4 linked regions of the Tribolium castaneum genome follow. The protein of the gene in region 4 interacts with the protein of the main gene of each other region in a pairwise test. Links are inferred from orthologs where the notes say so. Each region holds a gene or a part of one and is shown on either strand. Other genes may lie near its edges. The genes, in order: FBXO11, Fsn, ago and SkpA.

The links.
Region 1: the proteins of SkpA (region 4) and FBXO11 interact in binary tests that used the Caenorhabditis elegans proteins (3 or more experiments, as listed by UniProt). The link is inferred for Tribolium castaneum from reciprocal best matches to the Caenorhabditis elegans genes skr-1 and dre-1.
Region 2: the proteins of SkpA (region 4) and Fsn interact in binary tests that used the Caenorhabditis elegans proteins (3 or more experiments, as listed by UniProt). The link is inferred for Tribolium castaneum from reciprocal best matches to the Caenorhabditis elegans genes skr-1 and fsn-1.
Region 3: the proteins of SkpA (region 4) and ago interact in binary tests that used the Caenorhabditis elegans proteins (3 or more experiments, as listed by UniProt). The link is inferred for Tribolium castaneum from reciprocal best matches to the Caenorhabditis elegans genes skr-1 and sel-10.

The regions. Positions count from the first base shown.
Region 1 is NC_087396.1:9,595,800-9,600,088, forward strand, and holds the start of FBXO11 (F-box only protein 11), read left to right. Parts: upstream 1-1,421; 5' UTR 1,422-1,466; coding exon 1,467-1,563; intron 1,564-2,015; exon of another isoform or gene 2,016-2,057; coding exon of another isoform or gene 2,058-2,127; intron 2,128-2,229; coding exon 2,230-2,544; intron 2,545-2,597; coding exon 2,598-2,748; intron 2,749-2,799; coding exon 2,800-3,182; intron 3,183-3,757; coding exon 3,758-3,982; intron 3,983-4,040; coding exon 4,041-4,285; intron 4,286-4,289. Other genes in the region: Sras (CAAX prenyl protease 2), read right to left, coding at 1,201-1,313. UniProt on the Caenorhabditis elegans protein: Substrate recognition component of a SCF (SKP1-CUL1-F-box protein) E3 ubiquitin-protein ligase complex which mediates the ubiquitination and subsequent proteasomal degradation of target proteins including blmp-1.
Region 2 is NC_087398.1:7,905,141-7,909,188, reverse strand, and holds the start of Fsn (F-box/SPRY domain-containing protein 1), read left to right. Parts: upstream 1-1,198; 5' UTR 1,199-1,281; coding exon 1,282-1,863; intron 1,864-2,532; exon of another isoform or gene 2,533-2,545; coding exon 2,546-2,636; intron 2,637-2,682; coding exon 2,683-2,777; 3' UTR 2,778-4,048. UniProt on the Caenorhabditis elegans protein: Component of a SCF (SKP1-CUL1-F-box protein) E3 ubiquitin ligase complex which is required for the restriction and/or maturation of synapses in GABAergic neuromuscular junction (NMJ) presynaptic neurons.
Region 3 is NC_087394.1:36,172,894-36,176,463, reverse strand, and holds part of ago (archipelago), read left to right. Parts: intron 1-1,772; exon of another isoform or gene 1,773-2,378; intron 2,379-2,427; exon of another isoform or gene 2,428-2,613; coding exon 2,614-2,824; intron 2,825-3,160; coding exon 3,161-3,446; intron 3,447-3,570. UniProt on the Caenorhabditis elegans protein: Probable substrate recognition component of SCF (SKP1-CUL-F-box protein) E3 ubiquitin-protein ligase complex, which mediates the ubiquitination and subsequent proteasomal degradation of target proteins.
Region 4 is NC_087402.1:1,039,239-1,041,703, reverse strand, and holds SkpA (S-phase kinase-associated protein 1), read left to right. Parts: upstream 1-1,305; 5' UTR 1,306-1,383; coding exon 1,384-1,872; 3' UTR 1,873-1,965; downstream 1,966-2,465. Other genes in the region: mitochondrial ornithine transporter 1, read left to right, coding at 1-217; uncharacterized protein LOC103312555, read right to left, coding at 324-477, 525-599, 648-787, 1,019-1,021. UniProt on the Caenorhabditis elegans protein: Probable essential component of SCF (SKP1-CUL1-F-box protein) E3 ubiquitin-protein ligase complexes, which mediate the ubiquitination and subsequent proteasomal degradation of target proteins.

The sequences.
Region 1 (4,289 bases), on a different chromosome or scaffold from region 4:
AAATAGTGAATGTCGTCAAAGTGACATATCCGTCAAACTTTTCTCAAACGTGATGTCATTATCAATTTCCACTCAAGCTTACGCTTGAATCGGACATATTGTACGGACGAATAGCTATAAATTATTCATACACTTCAAAATAACAATAATGTAATTTATACTTTCAATGAAAGATCTAATTATTAATAACTATTTTGCATTTTTATCAACCTTACTTAAAAAATAATTTGGTAAAATGCGACTTTGGCATTTACGTAGTTTTGAAACACCTAATATGTAAACGCCAACGTCGCATTTCCTATCTAAATTTGTTGTTATAAAGTATTTATGCAAAATTAGTAGTTAATGTAATTATACTTTCAATGAGAGATCTAATCACTATAACTATTTTACATTTTTATCAACCTTATTTTAAAAAAATAAGTTGGGGAAATGCGACGTTGACGTTTACATAGTTACATAGTTTGTAAACAACTAAAACTATTTGAAAGCTTATTATTTGATCTCTTCAGCTTGATTTAGTTAATCAGCGTTTTCAAACAAGTTAAAAAAATGTTAAAGTTTACTCTAATTATAACTTCAAATGATCACATAATATTAACATGAACCGTACACATTTTTTTGCATAAAATAAAATCCTTTGAATGTATCCAGATCCACTGAACAATTCTGCCGCGTTAGGGTCGACTGTAGATTATAACATACAACAACTATAAGCTGCAAAATTTGCATTGACCGAACATGCCCCATGTCCGAACGTACCCCGCACTCCCCTACTTGGGAATACATTTTGCTTGTCTTTTGTTATTTGAAGGCTCAGGTAACACACCTGGACTTTATCCTTTTATGCAATATGTGAAAATTATTTCAACTGTATAAACGGTTCAAAATATGAAAAAAAAATTTTCCCATGATAAAAAAATTCGTATTTTTAATATATTACTAATTACATTGAATAAACAAGTTAATCATTTCTTGTATTTTTTGTGTAATAAAAAGAGTAACGTAGTGACGTTTATTGGTCTTGTTCTTTTCTTTTCCTCCGCCATCCGACATTGAATTTGTCGTAGACTATACCGTAACGGGGAGCGGCGGGAGGTGCGCGGTGCGGAGGGCATCCGTCGCAAGCCTACTTGATTTTGTTCATGTTGTGTGAAAAGGTGTTTTTCGTGTCCTTATCCTGAAAGGTGAATGGATTACCTGTTGTGCGGCGACTTCCAGACGTGTAAACTGGCGACATAAGTCACCGACATCAGCAAGCATAGCCCGATGGAACGAAAACAATCAAAAATTCCATAGAAATCCTGCACCATTCTGACATTTTAACGGTCACGTGACGTCAAACCAGCCCGGTGATTGGTTGGTCCGGTTCCGTGGTTGTCGGAACGGTAGCGAATATGGCCGCCAGTGCTAGTTCCAGTGTCTCCTTTGTTTAGAGATTGGTTTTGGTGCTAGTGCTAGAAAAAATGCCGAGCGCCTCTTTCACGGCCTCCAGGTCGTACGTAAGGAGGTCCCGCAGGAAGGGCGCTAACAGGATCCCGACTCCTTCCAGGACCACGTCTGGTAAGTGTAGCTGCTGCGACCCGAATCCCCCTATTGTCACCTTCGAGAGAATGCGAAAACAGTTATTTGGGGCCCCAAATATCGATTTTAGTTCATCAAAGACTCTTGTGGCGGACGCATCTGCGTAAAAATAACAGGGCTGCCCACATCGCAACAACCCAAATAAGTCCAGATAACGATTTTTATCGTCGCGAAATATTTGTAAACATGGCAGGCAGCCCCACGCAGGGGCTCCACCTTACGCTCACTCACACCATATTTCATACATCCCTCAATATCGATTTCCATCAAGTGGCTAAATTGCCTTTTAATTGACATAAAAACGACCGAATTAACTGCACTAGGACCCCTCAATGTAAATACAAAACGTAATTAATTCAGTTGCAAGGTTTTATTTTTCGACTGTTGCTAAACCCGGTTAGATCATCACGTTTCAGCTTCAGTAAATCGGTATCCTTCATTTTGTTGGAAATTTTCTTTGTGGCATTTGGCAGATGAGTTTAATAATCTTTAGCCCGAATAACAGCACTGAAAGCGTGGTTTTGGTTGCTACTAAAAATACTTGTAAGCAAACATACGGTCGAAAACAAGTTAAACATAGCCAAAGCTGAAAAATTTTTCATTTCGCCAACAAGCAATGAATAATTGTTGAAATTTGTTTCGCAGCAGAGCCATGCGAACCTTCCTGTCCTGTACCTAACCAAAACATTCCAGCACCTACGGCGGCCGCTCCGGGCTCTGGGGGGCCTTCAGCAATGGCCCCTGGGACCAGCGGCGGCGCCATTCCAGCCCATCACTCTCCTTACGACCTTCGACGTAAGTCTCCGTCCCATCACGACGGGCCGGGGCCCAGCACCAGCGCCGCGACGGCAGGATCGCCCACTTCCCCGGCGACTCCGACGGCACCAGCACAAGGGTACACTTCCGCCATGCTTCCGGCGAGGAAACGTCCAAGACGGACTTGTTCCGCTTCGTACGAGAGTACGATCACAATTTTCCGAAAAAAATACCATTCTCAAAACGAGCTTTTGCAGATTGTACAAACACAGCCGCTCATTATCTCCAATACGAGCTGCCGGACGAAGTTTTGCTCACGATATTCAATTATTTACTCGAACAAGATTTGTGTCGTGTGAGTCAAGTGTGTAAACGGTTTCAGGCCATTGCGAATGATACCGAGATTTGGTAATAATTTGACCATTTGCTGTGAAATGCAACTTGATTGATTTTTTTTAGGAAACGCCTATATCAGAGTGTCTATGAATACGATTTGCCCTTGTTTAATCCGGCACCTTGTGTTTTCCAATTTATCAGTCCGGAGGAGTCTGATTTGGCTAATCCATGGAAGGAGTCTTTCCGTCAGTTGTATCGCGGGATACACGTTCGACCAGGTTATCAAGACTTGACGTTCAAAGGACGCAATCTTGTGTACTTTAATACGATACAAGCGGCTTTAGATTATGCCGATGAACGTAGTGGTAGTAATAGTACGAGCGGTTGTCTCTTGGTCAATAATAATCACACTGAGGGTACCACTCAAGGCGCACTCATATTTCTACATGCCGGTACTTATCGTGGAGAGTTCCTCGTAATCGACGACTCAGACATTGCTCTTATAGGTTTGTAAAATATTACTTACTAAAATGTCTTTATTGGCTATTTAACTTTACAATCCTTGAAATTATTTGATATTCTACCTTACGTATACTTACACTTCTTTATTTTTTTTCAATTTTCTTCTTGCACCTTATCTTTCTCTCCCAGGTATGCTAAGAATAATGCAAGCTTTAACGCACAACCTTGACTTACGTCTTTAATTGTTCAAAAACATTTGCTCGTCTCTTGATTAATCGTTTCTTCAAAATTTTCTCTATTTTTTTAACTTTCTAATTTTCAGTTCTTCTTTTGTAAGTTCGTTTATTTCCTGTAATGGTTCGACACTTTTGATCTCACTACAACTGTTTTGACTTCCCTTTAGTACTTCCATAAAGTGATCGTTCCACTTTTCCATACTTATATTTTCATTTATTTTGTCTTTACTTTTGCTTTCTTTATTTGTAAGATTCCACACCTCCAACTCTGTCCTAATTTCTTTTATTTTGTATACTTTTTTTTCTTCACACTTGTACTGTTTTCTTACTTCGGTCTACAAAATATTACTGTCGTACTTGTTACTTATCGAATTTTTTTGAAGGTGCGGCACCTGGGAACGTGGCCGAATCCGTGATACTAGAACGAGAATCCGAATCGACGGTGATGTTCGTCGAAGGTGCAAAAAACGCCTACTGTGGCCATCTTACGTTGAAATTTTCACCTGATGTCACATCTACAGTACCTCACCATAAACATTATTGTCTCGAAGTTGGAGAAAATTGTAGTCCGACTATAGATCATTGCATTATACGAAGCACATCAGTTGGTAAGTCTTGCGTTCAATTTAAAGTCAAAGTTTTGTACATTTTTTTTGTATTGATTAGTTGGTGCGGCCGTTTGTGTGAGTGGTGCCGGCGCAAATCCCGTCATACGTCATTGTGATATAAGTGATTGTGAAAATGTCGGCTTGTACGTCACCGATTTTGCCCAAGGAACGTATGAAGATAACGAGATCAGTCGGAATGCATTGGCTGGTATTTGGGTGAAAAATAACGCGAACCCGATCATGCGTCGTAATCACATACACCATGGAAGGGACGTCGGAATATTTACGTTCGATAGTGGAATGGTAA
Region 2 (4,048 bases), on a different chromosome or scaffold from region 4:
AAAAATACTATTTTGCACTATAATGACGAAATAGTCAGTAAATACGGTAAACACAAATGTAAAAGAATAATTATAAAATACTATTTATTACCTGTTTCGAAACCATAAAAATGCCAACATCACATTTTCTCTCAAAATTTGTTGTAATGGGTCAATTCACGACGGTATGCGTGTGGATATGGTAAATGTAATGTAGTTTTTCGACCTGTTATCTTCTTATAGATCTTAATACTAATTGTTCATACTCTTCTGACTGAATTTTTAGTCATCATAGCATGAATAGCAAAGGAAAGAAGCTCATACCCACACGCAAACCGTTATGAATTGACCCCATCAATATTTTGTAATTTTTGTTTTTATTTTTTAAAGCAAAAACCAAAAAAATACACGTTTTTAAGTAGAATATTTTTTTGGGGATTTTTTTTTTAAATCCAAATCTGTCATTGCCTTTTTCAAGACGTTCTTGATGTTAGAGTTACGACACTCAACTTTAGCCATATTTGATACTTGCATTTTTTAAAAGTTTTTTTATTTCTGCTAACAATTCGATGTATCACATAATGATCAGCAATTTTCGTAAAAATGCTTTTTCTCCATTTTGATCAGCATGTAATATTTGATCATATTTTGTGATACATCGTTGAAATCAGAAATAAAAACGACAAACGGACACCCTGTATTTATAAATATGTTTATTGCTGATTGTTTTTTACAGCCGTAAAACTATTTTTTTGTATTCTTATATTGCATATGAAATATAGATTTGTCGAACATGTAACATATAAAGAACAGTTTATTGAAAAGCTAAAGCGGCTTCAGAGGAATAAAAGTGCCGAATCAATTTTAGTAGAAACGAAAATTTAAACATTTTAAAACAACAATGAAAATTGTTGCTAAATACAAAAATTATGTAAAAATAAATACATTTCTGAAAATGAAAATGTGTCCTGGGTGTCGATTCTAAACCAATACTTCGACTCGAAAAGTGTTTTGAATGCTTCTGTTTATGATTTTTTAGATTTGACTGATTCTGCCGATGTCTGTTTCTAGAGATGTCCTGTTCTGTCGCTAATTTTTTGTTGAACACCACCTCTATTATATACGTGAATTTTTCTAGATCAGTTCGCGTCCTCAATAAACCGCGTTATTGGACGTCGTGAATGCAAATTTCGCGTGTTTATAAATAATTTAAGCGGATTTTATTGAAATCGCAATCAGTCGGTTCGAGCGGTTGGTATCGCTGTCAAGTGTCAAGTGTCAGACGGGTTGGTCCGTTCAAAAATGGATGCCGCTGTAGCATCAACATTGCCCGATAATGTGTTGGAAGTAATTTTTTCATATTTGTCTCTGCATGATTTGAGGAACTGTTCTTTAGTGTGTAAGAGATGGTATAGTTTTTTAAATGATGAAAATAACGACGTTTGGAGGCTGCACTGTATTCGGAAACTAGCCGAAGAAGCACTAAAGTCAGATTTGTTGTCTTCAGTTCCTACGTATAAAGCGAAATTGCGGGCGTTTTACCACGCCTGGAATCCGAACGACTGCTCTAGAAATATTTATATTAAGCCTAATGGGTTCACGTTACACCGAAATCCCGTAGCTCAAAGCACGGACGCTTCGAGAGGTAAAATCGGATTTAGACATGGGAGACACGCTTGGGAGGTGATCTGGGAAGGGCCCTTGGGGACGGTCGCCGTCATAGGAATTGCCACAAAAGACGCACCTCTGCAGTGTCACGGTTACGTGGCCCTGCTGGGCTCGGACGACCAGAGTTGGGGCTGGAACTTAGTTGATAATCATTTACTGCACAATGGAGATGCTCAAGGCAATTACCCGCTACTTAACAATGCCCCTAAATATCAAGTAAGTTCGCTGGTCCACCTACAGTCTGTTCTTTATTTAAACGGAAATTACCAAGTCCAAGACTCTATATTATGTAATTTTTTTATTATTTATTTTGACTGGAAATGGCAAGTTCTTTTGCCAAAACTACACCTTTTTCAACTGTATTTTAGAAATACTCAGGTTTATTTCAGAAGATGTTATTGTAATTCATATTAGTAAAGTTAAAGTTTTGATATTTTGTAGACGTTATTTATAATCTAGGACGTATTTTAGGATAATATTTTTGATTATATGGAGTGTCCCCAAAAAGAATGAGGGCATAATATTTTTTTAATGGCAAGCTTTTTTTCGTGCTCTTTAGGATACCTTTTTACCTAGTTTTTTTAAATTAGTTTGGGGATTTCAAAAAATTAAAAAAAATGGTTTTCCACCTTTAGTTTTAAAAATTAATAAAAAATAGAAACAGTGCTTTTTTGCTAACATTATTAGTACGTACGTGTTGTATAAGTTCTATTTGTAAGTTCGACACTTTACTTCTCTTGGTTAAAATTTGAAATAAGATTAATCTTGCATAACAGAAAGTGACCAACTTTTTAATTTTTAAAACTTATAATTTTTTGACGCTATTTGTTGTTTTGCGGTTGGTTTTCCGTTTAAATAAAAAACAGACTTTAGTTTTTGTCTTAGTTGGGTTTTGCAGGTTGGGGAGCGAATTCGGGTGATTTTAGATTGTGATGACAACACGCTATCTTTTGAAAAAAACTACGAGTTTTTGGGAGTGGCCTTTAGAGGTAAAGCGCTTTTTGGAGCGAGATGGTGTTTCATGAGGTGTTTCAGGATTGCCAGATAAAAAATTGTATCCAACAGTTTCTGCCGTTTACGGAAACACTGAAGTTTCAATGGTGTATCTCGGACCACCTTTAGATGGCTAACACAGCTGGAAGTTGACGTTAGTCTGTTAATTAACTGAAAAAAGGGGTTGGATGCTTCAAGATGGCTCATTCAGGACAGCAGGTTTGCCCATGTGATAATTACATTTTACTTCAGTCAGTCATACTTCCATTAAAAATGAGTATGTAGGACAATTTAAACAATGGTAGATGTAGAATTTTTATAACAGTAGACTAAGAGAGGTGCATTTGAAGTATATGTTGTCACAAACTTAACTAAATAACAGTCCACAAGGAGGAATTGATTTCGTTTTAATACGTTTTATTTATTTTTTAGATGCTACCACTTTTTACATCAAATGCACTAAGTAAATAAACATTTTGCCATATTCCGTGACCTGATTGCCACTTTTTTAACACTGAAACAGAAACATTGAGTGAGTAGACTTTTAGGGAATCAATTCAAATTGGGTGCTTTCTTGCAATTTTTTGTTGCAATATTTTCATCATTACTGCTATAAAATTGCCTCCCAGTAACAAATTTTAATAACACTGCCAAAATACAGGAGTTACGCAGCTGAAATAAAAGACAATGAAAAAAGTCGTAATTATTAAAAATTGTAATGACGTGGTTTGATATCTATCTGTTTAATGAGTATCGAAATTTGCATATGAATGCATAATGGTGTTTTTAGTGATCGTTTGACCCCAGATATGTTTTTATGCAAAGTAGAACAAACATTTTTATTGAAAAAACGGAGGTAATTTTATAGTAGCAATGACCTCCAGGACCGGATCGAGACTTTATTTATTTTTAGGAACAAATTCATCGAAAGTTCAGGATATTTTTAGACAAGGGTTGACCAAAAAATTACAAAATAAAAAAATAAATTGTTTTATCGAAAAAAAAAAAATTGAGCCTTTTACCAATAGTTTAACACATTTTGTTACAAATGAACGGAAATATCACGCGAGTGATTTAAATGTGGAGCAATTTTTGCAATTTTCGAACTTTTTTAAGTACGTTTGACATGAAATTGTTACACAAAAATTCCTGATTGGGTTAAAAATGCATTATTTTTGCGTATTTTAGCGTTTAAGTGATACTTTTTTGGTTCAAAAACAGTGATATTGTTGCTTATTTAAACACAGTCTTCTGAAGAAATATTATTTATCAGTAAGTTACTAATTGTTTTAACTTTTTACCCTCGATCCGGCCTTGGTGGTGCCAATTTTGTAGAATGACTACATTTTTGATTAATTTTTTACGTTGGCAGTCAATGTAGTCGTGTACAAGTCTCGAAAAATAAGCC
Region 3 (3,570 bases), on a different chromosome or scaffold from region 4:
CCGTTTTCTTCTGGCTCTTTTAGTTTGGCCGTAATCGGCGATTGAAAATTGAAAAATTGAGATATCGCCTTGAGTCCCATGACATTTTTATTCCGGTTATCCTCCATTTTTTCGTTTCTCGATATCTTTAATAGTTTCGCCGTAATTGGCGATTGAAAATTGAAAAAAAGTGAAAATGGAAACCTTTTTTTGCGTTTTTCTCGGAAACTGTAAGACTTAGAGCAACGAACAAAAAACCATCTGATAGCGCTTAATTTTATCTATTTTTTCGACCAAACCCGGAGCCGCTCCGGGCAACGGTTCTGGCTACAGAGGCGATCAAAGTTTTTCACTAAAAAATTCATTAAAAAAAAACTAAAAGTCGTAGAGCATTGCGGTTTGTTCGATTGAATTCTACGGCTCATTTTACATATTATATCGATTTTTTACAAGAATTAAAAATTTAAAACTTTTTGCCTAAATTTAGGGTAGCCATTTGTCATAATGAAAAATTTTATTTATTAAGAAAATTCATAACTCGAAAACTAAAAGTCGTAGAGCAGTGCGGTTTATTCCATTGGATTCAGCGGCTTTTTTTCTCTATTATACTAATTTTTCACGCAATTTAAAATTTTCAATTTTTTTGCTCAAATTTCCTGAGTACCTCAAGAGGTGAAAAAAATATTTTTTTTTAACTAACTCCAGCAAATTTTTATGGACTTCTACATGTCTTAACAACCCACAAAAGTTGTTAAAAGTCCACAAAAAGTCCAAATGTTCGATTTTTTGATGTTTGATTTTTTCAATTTTCGTCGCAATTTTTGTTGATTTTGGGTACCCGGAACATTTGTCGAGCAATAGCTCCGGAACTATTAGAGATAACCCCATGAAGTGTATTATCGTTGGAAAGCTCTTTAAATTATCTATTTTTTTCAAAAAAGATTATTGTTCTCCGACTAATAGTTTTCGAGCAAATTGCTGCTAAATGCAAAATTTGGTAAAATTTTAAAAAATTCATAACTAAAAAACTGTTGGGAATTTGGCAATTTTCTTGATGCCAATCGATTCCCCGGATCATTTTGCATAGGTATGGATCAAAACAGTTTCACTTTTTAGAATATTTTAGCCGTAAATGAGAAAATAAAAAAAAATAAAAAAAAGTTAACACCCCCCCCCTTAAAACCGGTCAATTTTTAAAGTGTCTCAAAATTAAATGAAACCTATTCTATCTTATAGATTTTGATGTGCTCTTTTCGATCTAAAAAAGCGTTTTCTCCTAGCTCTTTTAGTTTGGCCGTAATCGGCGTTTGAAAATTGAAAATTTTTTTGCGAGATATCGCCTTGAGTCTTATGCCATTTTGTAGAGTTTTTTATTCCGGTTGTCCTCGATTTTTCCGTTTTTCGATAACTCTAATAGTTTCGCCGTAATTGGCGGTTAAAAATTGAAAAAAAGTGAAAATGGAAACCTTTTTTTGCGTTTTTCTCGGAAACTGTAAAACTTAGAGCAACGAACAAAAAACCATCTGATAGCGCTTAATTTTATCTATTTTTTCGACCAAACCCCGAGCCGGTACGGGCAACGGTTCCGGCTACAGAGGCGATCAAAGTTTTTCACTAAAAAAATTCATAAAAAAAAAACTAAAAGTCGTAGAGCATTGCGGTTTGTTCGATTGAATTCTACGGCTCATTTTACATATTATATCGATTTTTCACAAGAATTAAAAATTTAAAATTTTTTGCCTAAATTTAGGGTAGCCATTTGTCATTGTGAAAAATTTTATTCATTAAAAAAATTCATAACTCAAAATCAAAAAGTCGTAGAGCAATGCGGTTTGTTCCATTGAATTCAGCGGCTCATTTTCTGTATTATACCAACTTTTCACGAGATTTAAAATTTTCAATTTTTTTGCTCAATTTCCTGAGTAAAATACACTTACCTTCAAAGAGGTGAAAAAAAATTTTTTTTTAAACTAACTCCAGCAAATTCTTATGGACTTCTACATGTCTTAACAACCCACTAAAGTTGTTAAAAGTCCAAATATTCGATTTTTTATGTTTGATTTTTTCAATTTTCGTCGCAATTTTTGTCAATTTTCGGTACCCGGAACATTTATTTATTTATTTATAGATAACCTTATGAAGTTTATTATCGTTGGAAAACTCTGTTAATTATCTATCTTTTAAAAAAAAGGACATTGCTCTCCGACTAATAGTTTTCGTAAAAATTGCAAACAGAAACAAAAAAAATCGTTTTCAAAATTTATTTTTTTTACAAATGATTAATGAGTGTATTTAAACTTAATCAAGTGTTGAGAAGAAAGTATTTTGTTTTAGATTGTGGTGATAAATCTGTATCCGAAAATTTAAAAAAATTAAAAAACATCAACCGTACTTATAATGTAAATAACTATTAAAATTACAACAACATTGTATGTAATATTATTGTAGATTTTTGTTTACGGGTCCAATGATTACGTAGTAAAAGGTTTGAGGTTTATGTCGAGTTCCATATTAAGATATGTTGAACTCCAGAATCAGATGATGACAGTTTTGAATGAGGGCCATAATGAAACATTTCATTCATTATAATTAGTTGTTTTACTTTAATTTAATTGTTTTTTGTTAATTTTCTAGTTTGATGGCGTTCATGTGGTCAGCGGTTCTTTGGATACGAGCATTCGAGTGTGGGAAGTTGAGACGGGAGCTTGCAAACATACGCTTATGGGTCACCAGTCCCTAACATCCGGTATGGAATTACGAAATAATATTTTAGTGTCCGGAAATGCCGATTCCACCGTTAAAGTTTGGGACATAGTGACCGGTCAGTGCCTACAAACCCTTTCAGGTAAGATTCTTGCACCTCTTTTGTAACATCACTGTTACAAAATACTCTTAATTATCATTAAAATAAGCAAATGCAGTTATAGTGTAGTGTAATTATATTCCTATGTTTATTATTAAAAAAAAAAAAAAAAAAACTCGCAGCATGCCCTGATACTTGTAGAACAATTTTTATCATTGTATTGTTGGTTGTCTACTAAACCATTTTATTATATTTTATTAAGCTGTTCTTTTAATTTCATTTTATACTGTTGTGTTAAAATATGTAATTAAATAGCAGTGAATTAAGCAAATTGAGTAATAAACAAATGTAGATTTGATGTTACTTTCCATTTTCCAGGACCATACAAACATCAGTCAGCCGTAACTTGCCTCCAATTCAACAATCGTTTTGTGATAACTTCCTCGGATGATGGAACTGTAAAATTATGGGACGTTCGCACCGGCGAGTTCATCAGAAACCTGGTGGCTTTGGACAGTGGTGGCTCAGGAGGCGTTGTGTGGCGGATTCGCGCCAACGACACGAAACTAGTGTGCGCGGTTGGAAGTCGTAACGGCACAGAAGAAACAAAACTACTAGTGTTGGACTTTGATGTCGATTCTAACTCCAGTACCATCATTTCTAGGTAATTACAGACTGCAAAAAATTGTATGAGTGCGCGTGTTTGTAGACCTACGACTTTTAAAAAGCATACTACTGATGTTGCTATCAAATTTCATGTCTTTGACAAACCCAATAATTTCAACTAC
Region 4 (2,465 bases):
GACGTTGACTTATCCAGTCGATGTGGCCAAAAGTCGGATTCAAGTCACTAATAGTAAAATGAATATGGTTGCAATGATTTTGCAAATATCGAGGCGGGAAGGCTTCAGACAGCTTTATAACGGGTTGACTCCAACGTTAGTTCGGACTATTCCATCCACTGCCACTCTTTTTGCAACTTACGAGTATTCCAAAAGATTCCTCCACCAAATTTTCTGATTAGAAATAAAACTCGAACATAGTTTTTATATTTTATTTTTATCCAATAAATAAATAAATAGGAATACTGGGGTAATACTGTCCGGCCTGTCTTTTATTATTCTCCTCACTTCAGATAATTGCTATTTTCGGGATCGAACTCGGGGGACGATTCTATGGCTTTTTTCAGTAGTTCCCCGAAAAGACTCGGACTGTTAAGGATTGTAGGGAAATCGCGGGACCGGTCAATCCCCGAAAAATCGGAATCCAGGGCTGGCACCCTAACAAATGAATCAAACTTTTGCACTTTAATTGTTTTAATGACTACCTGTACTCGTCACTGAGACGGCTTAAAATGTCTCGCTTTTGCTGCCCGCGGCACACGGGAGAAAAAATGTGTGTCCTTAAATAATTAATTAATTAAATAAACCTGATATTATGTAATTAGTACCTGCAATGATTTTTTTTCAGCAAGTTGGGGTTTTTGACCAAAGCCCCGTGGGTAATTTCAATAGATAGGAAAATAATGCTGACGAATAACAACAAAGTGATTCGGTGGTCCGTAATGGACTTTTTCATTGTTGTGGAACCCTAAAAATCAGATAACAATTTGTTTGTGTTTTGCTCCAAAACACTTGAGAAGTCAAGTTAGATAAGAATTGGAAGTTTTCAAGTAATAAAGATTCGGTCAATTGTTGCGTCAGATTGTTACAATTAGTTGTTTTTATGCAATAAAGAGTGTTATCGCAAAAATTTCAAAATAATGTGTAAGAAAGAGGGTGATAAGGAGAAAATCAAAAAAGACGACTCAGACAGACTTACCATTGTTTGGCTTGGAGACAGGCGGTGAAGACGGACAATCTGGCTCCCAAATTCTTGGGCCACCTCTTTTAAATCAAGAGCGGGGTCTTGCGCAAACCAAGTGCAACAATTTTAACGCACAATTAAGCTTTATATTGCGGCTCTTCCCATATTACATTATCCGAGGCAAATAACGCGCTACGTGTTTTGATGAAAATTTTGCCGCGTCATTGCGTATTTGCTGCAATAACTCGTTTTGAATTAATTTGTTTATAACAATTGGTTCGAATCTGGCGCCCGTGTGGGGACGCTTGCGCGTTACACCTGTCATCCACCATTATTGCCGTCTATTGTCATATTCTGTCATCGAAGAAAAACCGTGAAAAATGCCGAATATTAAACTGCGTTCCTCCGACGGTGAAACGTTCGAGGTGGACGTGGAGATCGCGAAATGTTCAGTGACCATCAAGACCATGCTGGAGGACCTGGGGATGGACGAGGAGGAAGAGGAAGTGGTGCCTCTCCCCAATGTCAATTCGGCGATTTTGAAGAAAGTTATCCAGTGGTCCACTTATCACAAAGATGATCCTCCACCGCCCGAAGACGACGAGAACAAGGAGAAACGCACGGATGATATTTCGTCATGGGACGCCGATTTTCTCAAAGTGGACCAAGGCACTTTGTTTGAGCTGATCCTGGCGGCGAATTACCTGGACATCAAGGGGCTGCTCGATGTGACTTGCAAGACAGTCGCCAACATGATCAAGGGCAAGGCCCCCGAGGAGATCCGCAAGACTTTCAACATCAAGAACGACTTCACAGCCTCCGAGGAGGAGCAAGTGCGCAAGGAGAACGAATGGTGTGAGGAGAAGTAAACTCGTATTTTTTTTATTTAAGATTATTTCCAAAATTGCGTTCATTGTTTTATTGTAATATGATTATTTAAATCAAACGCCATTTCGACCCAACTGGTTGTTTATTTGCACCTTAACCAATTATAATAGGTGTCGGATAAAATATAGTATACAAGTGTTAAAATACGCCATAATCATCGCAAGACCCCGCCTCGTTCCCGCAAATGCGGGCCCCCATAAACGCCCCCATTAAAACCGCTACAAATATCATCGTTAAAAACCCTAAAAAGTACAGCCACGTCCTGGAGGAACACAAGGACCACCAACACCTACAACTCGCAATTAATTGGCAGCTTTTTAACCACAACTAACCCTCGGGTAAAACACCCATTTCGCTTGATTTCATCCTCCACGAAATTTTCCGACTTGGATAGTTGTTCATTCATTAATTTAATAATTTTGCATTTGATGTGTTTGAGCTTCTGTTTCGTTTCCAAAACGTCGCAGTCACAATCATCATCACGGCTCATTAAACTGGAATTGTGTTAGGATTAAGGAAATTCAATTTGTAGTGTGCAAATTGAGATTATGACGTTAAGGTGTCATTTTGGGCA